Linked DNA regions of Nothobranchius furzeri. The protein of the gene in region 2 interacts with the protein of the main gene of each other region in a pairwise test. Links are inferred from orthologs where the notes say so. Each region holds a gene or a part of one and is shown on either strand. Other genes may lie near its edges.

Region 1 (3,754 bases), on a different chromosome or scaffold from region 2:
CACTGGTGTGTGTGTGTGTGTGTGTGTGTGTGTGTGTGTGTGTGTGTGTGTGTGTGTGTGTGTGTGTGTGTGTGTGTGTGTGTGTGTGTGTGTGTGTGTGTGTGTGTGTGTGTGTGTGTGTGTCATCCTCAGGATTCAGTTAAATTCTTTTCTCATAAGTGAACTAAGAGCTGTCCTACCTTCTCCAGCTTCAAAATGCTAAGAGACTGGCTGGGTGTGCTGTGTTTTAACAGAGTCTGGACACTAGAGGTCAGTGCTGAGTCACTGCAGGTCACACTGACATGGACACAGCTGCTGTCTGGTCTATAAGAGAGAAATGAGCCTGTTACACCACAGTGCAGGGAACTGAAAAAGCGCAGTATTGGGATTTATATGATTTTACTTTGGTTTTATGAAGCATTAAATAAACAATTAATAAATTAAAGTGTGAAACTTGACTCATCCTGTCAAACTTTCTGATTCTATGGAGTGAATTTACATGTTGTATTTTCCTAAACTGTCCCCAAAATGCACCCAAATGTAACGTGTTTCTGAGATCATCTCCATGTGCAGCGACATGTTTTCTAACAACCTGCTGCTGGTGAACTGTAGAGTTGTTCCGTCACCACAAGCCTTCAGCTCCTCTACAACAGAATTGAGCTCCTCGGCGTTCCTAACCATGAACTCCAGTTTTTGACAGTGGGAGGCTCCGCCGAGGGCCTGATTCAGCACAGACACCTGACCGCGGCCTGAAAGGATAAAAACAAAACAAGAAAAGACAGTCAACTGATAGCAGTCTTTAAGCTAAAACATGCATTAACAGGTAACTCTTGGATTTCTTTACCAAGACCCCCAACCAGCCAGTCATTCACCCCTCCTTTAGCACTATCCCAAGAAGTGTGAGGGGAAAAGATTGCGATCCCAGCCTCCACAGCACGAATGGCTAACCGCTGCTTCCAGTCTTTCTGAATCAGACGCTTAATGGGCCGAAACAAAGGTGGGTGGTACGAGACGACGAGGTCACAATTCACAGCCTCAGCCTCCTCCATGACCGCTTCAGTCAGGTCATTGGTCAGCAGGATGGTTTTAATCACACGATGTTTGCTTGGCTCAACCAGTAAGCCAACGTTATCCCACGATTCGGCCAGCGACAGAGGAGCCAGCTGCTCCAGAACCTCCAGAACCTCCTTTAACTCCATTGGGCCGGAACACGAAGCAGAACCAGACAGGCAGAGGACGGAAGAGAAATTAGGAAAAGGCTGCAAATAAACAGATTGTCTGCTTGTTAGGAAGTGGTGACTCTTAGTGGGCGGGGGGGCAGAGTAGAGAGAAGAATTTAGGCTTTTAATGTTTAAAAGTTTTTTTCTACTTATGGAGGATAAAACAGTCCAGGAGAGACTTCTGGATCCAGTCCACATCTGAGGAGATCTGTTAAAAAATAAAGAAATAAAAACAACTGATGGGTGACACATTTTCACAATATCTATAAATGTGGCATTGTTAATTACATAATTCAATAATCACATTTATATAGTAAATATTTATTAGACAGATATTTATGGAATAACCTACTAACTGATCAGCCAAGGAAACTTCAGGACTTCAACAGGTCAGAAGTAACGAAAGTTTGTCAATTTTTGCATTTGTTATCAAAAGTAACTAAGTGTAAGTGTTTGAATAAAAACCTACCAGTGACAAATAAATGAATTACAGAAACAGAATACTGCTGCTAACAGGACAAAGCTTTCTTTTTATGTGCTGCCTAAAAGCAGACACTTCCCAGAGAACATTACAGAATTTATTTTAATCTAAACCCACCTTATACACATTTGGACTTTATGTTCACACAAAACATTTTTGGTAATGCTAACCTGATAGCTTTAGCTGCTAACAGCTACGCTAACCAACTAGCATAAAGAGCTACATAGGCACAGCTAAAGTGTACATCAGAGAATAAACATTTGAAGTTGGGGTGTCTTACTTTCTTATTTACTCTTACCAGCCTTTCAGGGAAGAAAACCACGGCTGTTCTATATTCGCTACGTTTCTGTCAGACTGACACACAAATGTACACTTTCTGCAGAACTCACTAAATGTCCCTTCTCAGCTTCCGTTCCGTTAACTGGTCCTGGTCTATAGTAATGTCGATGGTCCTGGTCCTAGCCTAGCCAAAGTGCTTTTTTTCTGCACTGTCAACTCATAAAATAATAGTGTTAGACGTTGTAACGGAAAGAGTGGTAAAACAAATGCTGAATTATATATTTAGTGAGTTTTAAAGTTCATTTACACGTCAGAAAAGGAATTGTTTTATTATTATTTTCAAAATAAACATTTATATCCCAACATTTATTTTGGAGCTAAACACTCAGTTTACAAAAAACAATATTTAGGTTTAGCCCTAAAAAATATTTAGTTGGGATCTCAATATTTATTTTGGAAAATATATATTTGATTTGGAGCTAAATATTTAGTTTGTAAACTAATATTTAGCTCCAAAATAAATATTTACATAGTAAATTAAATATTTAGTTTACAAACTAACCATTTAGGTCAGATCTAAATGGTTAATTTGTAAACTAAATATTTAGTTCAAAATAAAGTATTTATTTTACAAACTAAATATTTAAGTATGAGCAAAATATTTAGTTTTTAAAAATAAATATTTAACTTAGAATTTATTTATTTTTTAGCTTTCTAACAAAATATTTAGTTGGGAACTTTAACATTTATAAATGTATGTATAACGTTGTGAAAATATGAAATAGAAAAATCAACTCCCATTTTTTCTTTTATGATAGACTAAATAACCAAAAAACAAAAAACTATCCACCACAGCCATTAAACTTTTCTCTGTAAATTTGTCACCACTTTCACATAAGGAAACACACTTTATCTCTAATGTTTAATTCTAACCGTTAGTGTGTTTTGATTAAATCATGTTTTAAGAGCTATCTACAAAATGACTACTAATCCACGTTGTTCTTCCGAGTTTGAGAGTACATTATGAAAGAGCTAAGATGGAAAATGCTTCTCAGAGCTGATCTGTGACCTGCAGTGACACTGATGTCTAACCAGTAAGCTTCTACTCTTTGTTTTCCTAAAGTAGACAAAAACACTTTAATTAACTTTATCCTGAATTCCTCAAGCTGAAGTAATTAAATTCTAAAAATAACGAGATTCTGAATTATTCAATCAACTCGTAGTAATAGAAACAGAGTCTAAGGTGATCAACAGCTTTAATAAAGTGTTCTGTATTACACAATGCTCTTTATGTGATGTTATAAAATGGAAGGATCTACTGACCTTCACATGGTGCAGGAGGCCAGCTGTAGTGGGAATGAAACAGGTTTTTTTCTCAGACTAAAGAGACTCCCTCTATGAAGCGTGCATGGGAAAGGAGGAACAGAGACACCCCTTCTTATGTTAATGATTATTTATTTTTACAACCAAACACTGACAAGACACCTAGAATATTTATAAATGAGAACCTTCCTGCACCTGGGACACCAAAGGTTGAGCAGGCCCACTCCATCCCCGATGCCTGTATGTTTATGTGTTTATTTATTTATTTTACATATAAATATCTGCCCCTCAAAAGGCTGGCTGTCTGCAACAAGCACCAAGTGAGAAGGAACTACCCCTCAGAAACGAACTTGGAACTAAACAGGGAAAGACCTGACGACTGACGAGCTGTATTCATTCGTTCATCTGACTCTTCTCAGAAAGATTAGCGGCAGTGTGGCCACTAACAGATGAAATCTGTCTGCAAATGAAG
Region 2 (3,754 bases):
GTTGAGCATTTTTTTAAATAATCTATTAATACTGATTGTTATTGGAAATTAAACAAAAATATAAAATATAATTAGCTTTTTTGGGGAAAATGCAACTATTTACACCATATTTTCTGACATTATTTATACTTATAGTCGACTAAGTTATAATATATATGTGAGATTTTGAAAAAATATGACATAGAAATGTATTTTCCTCGGGAGTCAGGATATAAAATGTTAATGTACGTGAGCTCAGTGTGTGTGGAGCTGAACATTCCTGCCTTTTACCGTTTCAGCTTGACGCTCTCCACACACACGAACCAGTCAGCGGTGTCGTTTTTATCTTCAGGCAAAATGTGTATGAAAGCAGCTGGAGGCTCCTGAAACGACTCGTTCCTCTTGTGTTACGGTTTTACGCTTTATACGAGTTTATGTATCCTGTCACGGTTTCTGTGGAGAAAAAAACGGTCATTAAACACCCAGCCAGGACAGCTGTTGAGCTGAGTAAGCTAAAGAGCCGAATAAGCTAAAGCTAACGGAGCCAGCGTAGGCTAATATGCTGCTATGGCGCTGTGTCCCCCTTTAGTGCATTTGTAAAAAAAAACGCGTACATTTTGTTTTAGCATTGAAACGTTACTTTATTAATGACTAACAAAAACAGAACTGTCATAAACCCCAAGGTCTGAAGATTACATTTAACAACACGTAAAAACATTCCAACAGCTAAATTTGATAAGATAATTAATAGCGCCTCACCTTCTAATGTTTGTTTCCTTTCTTTCGCTGGCGGATCTAGCAACTTCCACAGTGCCGCGTGCCCAGTGACGGCAGCACCACAACACTCGTCTATCTACCAATCACAGCCTCTTTGTTTGTTACATGACGTAAGGTCACGTTTTTACCATTTCTGATCTGCAGTCAGTTTTTCGTGCTTGTGTGGTTTTGAGCAGCCACCGCAGAAAACAGGCAGCCGATCTCAGGTCGGCTTTTTCAACAGATGTGTTTTCGGCTGTTAAGAGAAAAAACTCCGTTTTTTGGATGAAGTAAAAATAATGCAAAAAAATAAATAAATAAAATAAAAAGTAATACAAATGAAAAGTTCCACCTGTGTTGTGTAACACAAAATTCGAAGTACTCTATGTAGCCAGTAGGTGGCCCTGCCTAGAGTCAGCGAAGTAGGAAGTTTTTTCTTCTTCTCCAGCAGCCACATCACTTCCGAGATCCAGAACAGCAACAAAAGACAGCTCAGGCTGTCTGGTGAAACTTCTGCCTACATTTTGGTGAATGATTTAAGGGTTTAGCATTTTGGCAGGTATGTTGTAATTTAAATTCTTATTTTAAAAACAAGTGAAAATTACGTTGACGTTAAATAAAATCCGGAAGTAGACGTAAACATTAGCTCATAAGCTAGCATTTTACATTTACATTCAGGTTTTAAATAGACTCGTCGTGAGTATAATATTTATATTTGAAATTGCTACTTCTAGACACTGTTGTTTGGTAACGAGAGTTTCTCGGTTATCCTGTTTATTTAGTGATGTGGCACTGGCCGGGCCCTGTTTCTACTTCTTCCTGTTTCTCTAACTAAGGATCGCCATTAAACTAGAAAGACATGTAATCATTAGACAGTGATTGTTTATACACTTGAGACCGTTTTAGATTATGACGTGTCAAATGTGGCGTTTTAAAATACGAAAAATCAAAAGTTAGCTCCATTGACATTTGCGATTATTGCTTTCAAAACAGCTTAAGAACCAGGGAGGTTTACTGGGAACACGAGGAATATGAAAGATAAAATAAGAAGTGTTGGGGTTAAAACATGTGTCTACAGTAGATCTGAAGGTCAATGAAAATGGTGCAGTTATAGAAACGACCATATGTCAAGTTTTCAGTCAATATATCTTTTGGAATCCGTTTTGTGTGTGTGTGTGTGTGTGTGTGTGTGTGTGTGTGTGTGTGTGTGTGTGTGTGTGTGTGTGCTAAAGTACCTTTTTTTAATTTCTCAAATTGTTTAATCTTTGGTATTTTGTCATCGATTCTAATTTAAAAAATAGGATTTAAATGTCCACTACACTACACTACACCAGTTTCAGAAATGTTTTATGCCTGAAGGATTTATAGACTAGAAATAAGGGGCTTCATAGGCAAAAAATAATAATAATAATACATCTACCAGAAAATGAGTGGAAACGCAACCAAAGTCTAAATAAGATGCTACACCGTTGCATCAAATAAAAATGAGTAAATCCAGGCTAATTGTTTTTGTAAAAGTTTAGTCCACATTCAATGTGATTCTGTTTCAGTCAACAGTCTCTAAATGTTATCTGGAGTGCCTAAAGGGGAGAACGTCATGGTGGACATGGACAGCAAAGCTGGAGATTTGTTCATCCCAGATGAGGCCCATCCAACCGGCACAGGGGGCATCGGAGTCCTCTCAAGGTGTGAACCACCATGCTTTCATATTTTTACCCTGGCTTTGGTGTGTTGATGATATTCTATTTTGTTTATTTTTATAGGCTCTGGCTTCCTAAAGGCATCTCGGCCAGCATGGCTAAGGAGTGGTTCGACAGGCGCAGGTTGTCCATCCGACCGTGGGCCAGCTTTGTAGACCAGCGCAAATTTTCAAAACCTCGCAACTTTGGAGAGTTGTGTCAGAGGGTGGTTAAAAATGTGGAAGTTTACAACAGCAACTATACCTTCATATTTCTGGGGCTCATCCTCTACTGCATGTAAGACCTAATCAAAGAGAGCTTCATTAAAACAAAAAATGTTAATTAGATCATCTGTGAGACTCTGGCTTCTAGAAAAATGTCGACAGTCTGCTTTAAATAGCTCCAGCCTGACAGCCCTGTTCATTTTTCCTGCTCCTCAGTATCAGCTCGCCCATGCTGCTGATTGCCTTAGCCGTGTATGCTGGTGCCTTCTACGCCATCCACCTTAAGTCTCTGGAGTCCAAACTGGTTGTTCTCGGTGAGTACATTTCCTACAAATCCATAATCTTTTCAAATTTACCAGATTTAGTTTTTTTTTTTTTTTAACATTCAAGGTCTATTTTTTTTTATTCTGTGTGAAACCTTTTAAATATGTCATCCATGCCTGTTCTGGATTTAACCCACGCTGCATTTAGCACCACAAACCCTATTTTTAATATTTTTCTTCATATTTCTTGTTTATCAGGCAGAGAACTGACAGTCCCACACCAGATGAGTCTGGCTGGAGCCGTTTCTCTGCCCGTTTTCTGGTTGGCAGGAGCCGGAGCCGCTGTGTTTTGGGTTCTCGGTAAGCTGAACATGATTTGTTCTTTCCTCGTAATCTTTTTCTGATGTTTCATCTTGATTAAGAACTAAAATCGTTTCTTTTTACATCCATTTTTCCTGTTCTGTGTGGTTTCCTGTCAGGAGCAACTCTGTTTGTGATCGGCTCTCATGCTGCGTTCCGAGAGTTGGAGGCGTCGGACCTGGATGAGCTCCTCATGGAGCCGGTCTAAAGAGCTGCTCCATGATCAGTCCTCGTTTTGACCCTTTGAGAATCTCCTTGAAGATTTTTTTATATCTATACATATATCCTTCTTCCTCATGTTTACCTTATGGCATTGTATTACGAATGCACCTTATGTTGCATGATAAATAACTGTTGTTACACAAATGCATAAATAATGAATTTCTTATTGCTTGAAGCACATTATTCGCCTTTATCTGCATATATTAAGCCTGCGATGCCTCTGGTTTGTGCCATGAAGCCTCTTGCTCTTTAGCGGAGCATCTGCGCTGAA
Region 3 (3,754 bases), on a different chromosome or scaffold from region 2:
TTTGGCTTTTACTCAAGAGGAGTCTCGTTAACGGATGGCTTTGCACTTTTTGCTCCCCCACCTAGACTTTACCTGCATGTTTTTGTTGGTTTTTAAATGGTTTTATATGTTTTTATTTCTTCATGTTCATTTCTGTTGTGCGGCGCTTTGTTTGGTCCTTGGGCCATGTGAAGGCGCTATATAAATAAAGTTTAGTTGTAGTGAAGAGCTGCGTTTTGTTGCAGCTGGTGAATTTCACACACATAAAAAATCGTGGAAAGCAACAACAGTGATGTATAAAACACTGTTTTCATGAGTTGTTGTGGAATCTGTGCTCAGCTGTTAGTTCATCAGTCCTGTTGGATATAACTCAGAGGTCGTTCGGGAGGCCTCCGATGATCATTTATTACTTTTACTCAAAAGCAGCTGAACTAAATGGTTTCCATTCCTCCTCTGAACCCTGCTCACTAGAGTCGCGGGGAGCTGCTCTGCCTCCATCAGCCAGCAGGTGGGGGACGTCCAGGACAGGTCTCCAGTCTAATCACACGTCAGGAAAGGTTTCTGTTCTTCTGAATCAGAAACTTCTGCTGTAATTTGTACTTAATGCAACTTTAAACTCCCTCCACCCTTACAGCAAAGCGTGCTAAAAACCGGTAACTGTCCGAGGCTTGGCTTAAGGCTAAAAGGAGGGCAGCACATCGCTAGGCCCCACTGCTCAAACAGACAGGAACAAACATGGATTTCAGGCTGGTTCCAGTTTCCTGAAACAGCAGCATTAAGTGGCTCTCAGAGCGCGCGCCATCCCTGAGAAGGGAGGAGACGGACATGAATTAGACATGGAAGAGGAGCTGAAAGTAGGCCAGAACACTCAGAAACAGCAACAACCCACCAGGCTGAGGCAACAACCAACAAACAAAACAATCAGTGAAAATATTTTAATGAATTTTGTGCCAAGTTTCTTCTTGCGGTTTAGTCACAACACGTCTCAACGATGCCTCCTCTTACTCACAGCTAGCTAGAGCTGTCATGGTTGTGTTGTCCATCTCTCTGCACCCAGATGATAGAGTTGTGAGGGATGCTTTGTTACGTCGTGGTGAGAGTCAAGAAAATGTGGATTTATCACAACGTAGACAAGTAAACCAAAAATCTGCATGTTTTTTCTGACATCATTCAGCTCTACTGTCATCAGAACGACCGTGATAGGGGTTTGTGGCGGTCTGGAGCGTAGGTGTGTGTTTACACACACCAAGAACAACACTTAAGATGCTGATGAGCTTCCCAGGGGTCCACATGATGCTCATGAGGACCACAGATTCATGATTCACAGCAAACACCAGAACCTCATAATAGCAGTTAGCACGGTGGTGGAGAGCTGATGATTTGGGCCTGGTATTGGGTTGGACATGAACTCCTCCAATTACCAAAGTATTCCAGACACACATGTGAGAAGATCCATCCAACAGCTGGACCAAACTGGGTCATAGAGCACAACCACAGCAGCAGAGGGATCTCAGCATGGTTACATGAGTAGAGCCACATGGCAGCATGCGTCATCGTCTGAGTTAGACAGATGATCAAAGGCGGGAGACATTCAGACATCGCTGCTGCTATGGTGGACTCCACCGTTACCTCCTCTAACCCTGCTGCTGTAGCTGTGCCTGAGTGGGTCTGTTTGATTTGAACAGAACTACAGGTGTGTTACCTGTGGAGCTGCTTATTTTGTTTATTACCATCATAAATGAGTTTCTGCACGCTGAGCGAGGCCTGTAAAACTCTGTCAAGCAGAACCCTTCCTGCATCCTAGTCATGATTCTCCTGCAGGGCATTAAACCCTAAACCTGATCCAGCATGATGCACCACTGACTGAGGATCTGCACATGCTCAGGTTCCGCCTGCTGGTTTGGCAAAAGGGGGAAATTTACATCTGCAAAGTGCAAATAAATGATATAAGACTAGAGATGAGGCAACTGCCCTGCTTACAACAGCACAGGTGGTCTTTATGCCACAGACGAGCGCGATCATCCCCGTTGACAACAATAACAATAATAAAATAATAATGATAATAATGCAGCCATCGTCAGAGGAAAGCGATCAGCTGGCCTATGGGTTCCCTCGATCCCAGTCGGGCTGAACGGATTCCAGTTTAGAAATGAAATGAATAAAATCTGCATTAGAAACGGTCAAACATCTATAAAACAGTTACTTACTGTCCGAGGCCATTGCTCTCCGCGTTTATTCACAATTGACGGCGGAACGATGGGGAAGATCGGCGGCAGCATCCCCGCCTCTCTGCAGCCACTAGATCTATAAAACGAGCGCACACCAAGCGGTGGAGCGCCCCGCCCTCTCTCCGAACTGGACCGAACCGTGATTTTATTATTATTCCCAACAACAGCCAAAAACATTTATATGTCACGGTCCAATCATTGTAATTAATAAAACAATAATACGGAACCCAGCATTGCATCATTCACCTGTATCAGGTGCAGGGTTAGGGTTCACACGAATTACTCAGATTAATAGCACCACTCCATCATTCCTGATGGCCACCCATGGCTTCAACTGAGGGTCATTTAATCTTTGGGAGTGATTCGCCTGTAACACAGATTTAATACCATCATTATAACTGCTCCTGTATCATTAACTCTTTAGGCACCTGTTTATATTTTATTTGTGTGTGTGTGTGTGTGTGTGTGTGTGTGTGTGTGTGTGTGTGTGTGTGTGTGTGTGTGTGTGTGTGTGTGTGTGTGTGTGTGTGTGTGTGTGTTTAATTGATTTGACTACGGTAAAGTTTTTTTTTATATATATTTTTTAGAAGCTGGTAGGAATATCTGTTTTATTTGTAAGGACACTTTTAAAATTAATTATTTCAAACTGTATTTACTCCAAATTTTTACATGATAACACACATTAAAAGTGTCTTAGATTTAAGTTACAGATGTCTATCATCTCCTGGCAGAATGAGTGATCAAATCTGCAACTGTGGCTCGTAACAGTCAGAAATGTTGCTTGTCGCAATTTTACACCTTTGGCATCTAAAGAGTTAAGTGATGCAAGTTTACAGTTCTGTTTCACATCTATGTTTTAAGAAAATACTGAAGTTATTTTTCTGAGGTTCATGAACGCACAACGTTTCACACAGAGATAACCTAGCAACGGGCTGTTGCTAACGGTAAAAAAAAAATCTCCACTTACCCTCCCGGTGACAACAGCACTGTCCTTTGCAGAAAGAATCCAGACTGGATACTGACAACAAACCCTGATTGTGTCCATTTGTATCCCTCCAGGCTTTTATATGCTCGTAGCGATGCTCCGGAGTAGGACGAGGGAAAATTAATAAGAAAATTGTAAATGTCAGGGTATCTCAAATCCGGTAGGTCCACTCCGACAGCTTCTGGCATTTTAAAAACTATCCCAGGGGCATGGTAAGGGTCGGAGATAATTAATTTATGACTATATAAAATGGTTTCTTCGGTTTTAAAGTGAGAAGTGAACTCCGACGGAGTAAAATCCAAGCCAATCCCATTCATGTTCATGTTTAAGATCCGTGTTTGTTTACCTTTTTTGCCTGCCAATATGGCGTCTACTCTCTGAGAGTCACGTGACGTCCGGATCTCTATAGTCCCTTTAATTCAGCTTGTTATGTGCCATGAGAGAGATATAAGGACCCACCTTTCATCAAACTTTTTGACAGGTCTTTCTTTGACCTCATGATCTTGCCCCCCCATCCCTACCATAAATTAAATTGACAGGTCTATTGTTCTTTGACCTCATG

The links. The genes of interacting proteins can lie anywhere in the genome.
Region 1: the proteins of rabac1 (region 2) and nif3l1 interact in binary tests that used the Homo sapiens proteins (3 or more experiments, as listed by UniProt). The two-hybrid records come from large-scale screens. The link is inferred for Nothobranchius furzeri from reciprocal best matches to the Homo sapiens genes RABAC1 and NIF3L1.
Region 3: the proteins of rabac1 (region 2) and syt16 interact in binary tests that used the Homo sapiens proteins (3 or more experiments, as listed by UniProt). The link is inferred for Nothobranchius furzeri from reciprocal best matches to the Homo sapiens genes RABAC1 and SYT16.

The regions. Positions count from the first base shown.
Region 1 is NC_091756.1:34,572,123-34,575,876, forward strand, and holds the start of nif3l1 (NIF3-like protein 1), read right to left. Parts: upstream 2,114-3,754; 5' UTR 1,979-2,113; exon of another isoform or gene 1,961-1,978; intron 1,408-1,960; 5' UTR 1,398-1,407; coding exon 824-1,397; intron 729-823; coding exon 572-728; intron 304-571; coding exon 180-303; intron 1-179. UniProt on the Homo sapiens protein: May function as a transcriptional corepressor through its interaction with COPS2, negatively regulating the expression of genes involved in neuronal differentiation.
Region 2 is NC_091745.1:74,795,475-74,799,228, reverse strand, and holds the start of rabac1 (prenylated Rab acceptor protein 1), read left to right. Parts: upstream 1-1,159; 5' UTR 1,160-1,294; intron 1,295-2,285; 5' UTR 2,286-2,299; coding exon 2,300-2,421; intron 2,422-2,498; coding exon 2,499-2,711; intron 2,712-2,854; coding exon 2,855-2,952; intron 2,953-3,159; coding exon 3,160-3,261; intron 3,262-3,380; coding exon 3,381-3,469; 3' UTR 3,470-3,754. UniProt on the Homo sapiens protein: General Rab protein regulator required for vesicle formation from the Golgi complex. May control vesicle docking and fusion by mediating the action of Rab GTPases to the SNARE complexes.
Region 3 is NC_091758.1:9,733,255-9,737,008, forward strand, and holds the start of syt16 (synaptotagmin-16), read right to left. Parts: upstream 2,360-3,754; 5' UTR 2,200-2,359; coding exon 2,187-2,199; intron 155-2,186; exon of another isoform or gene 1-154. UniProt on the Homo sapiens protein: May be involved in the trafficking and exocytosis of secretory vesicles in non-neuronal tissues. Is Ca(2+)-independent.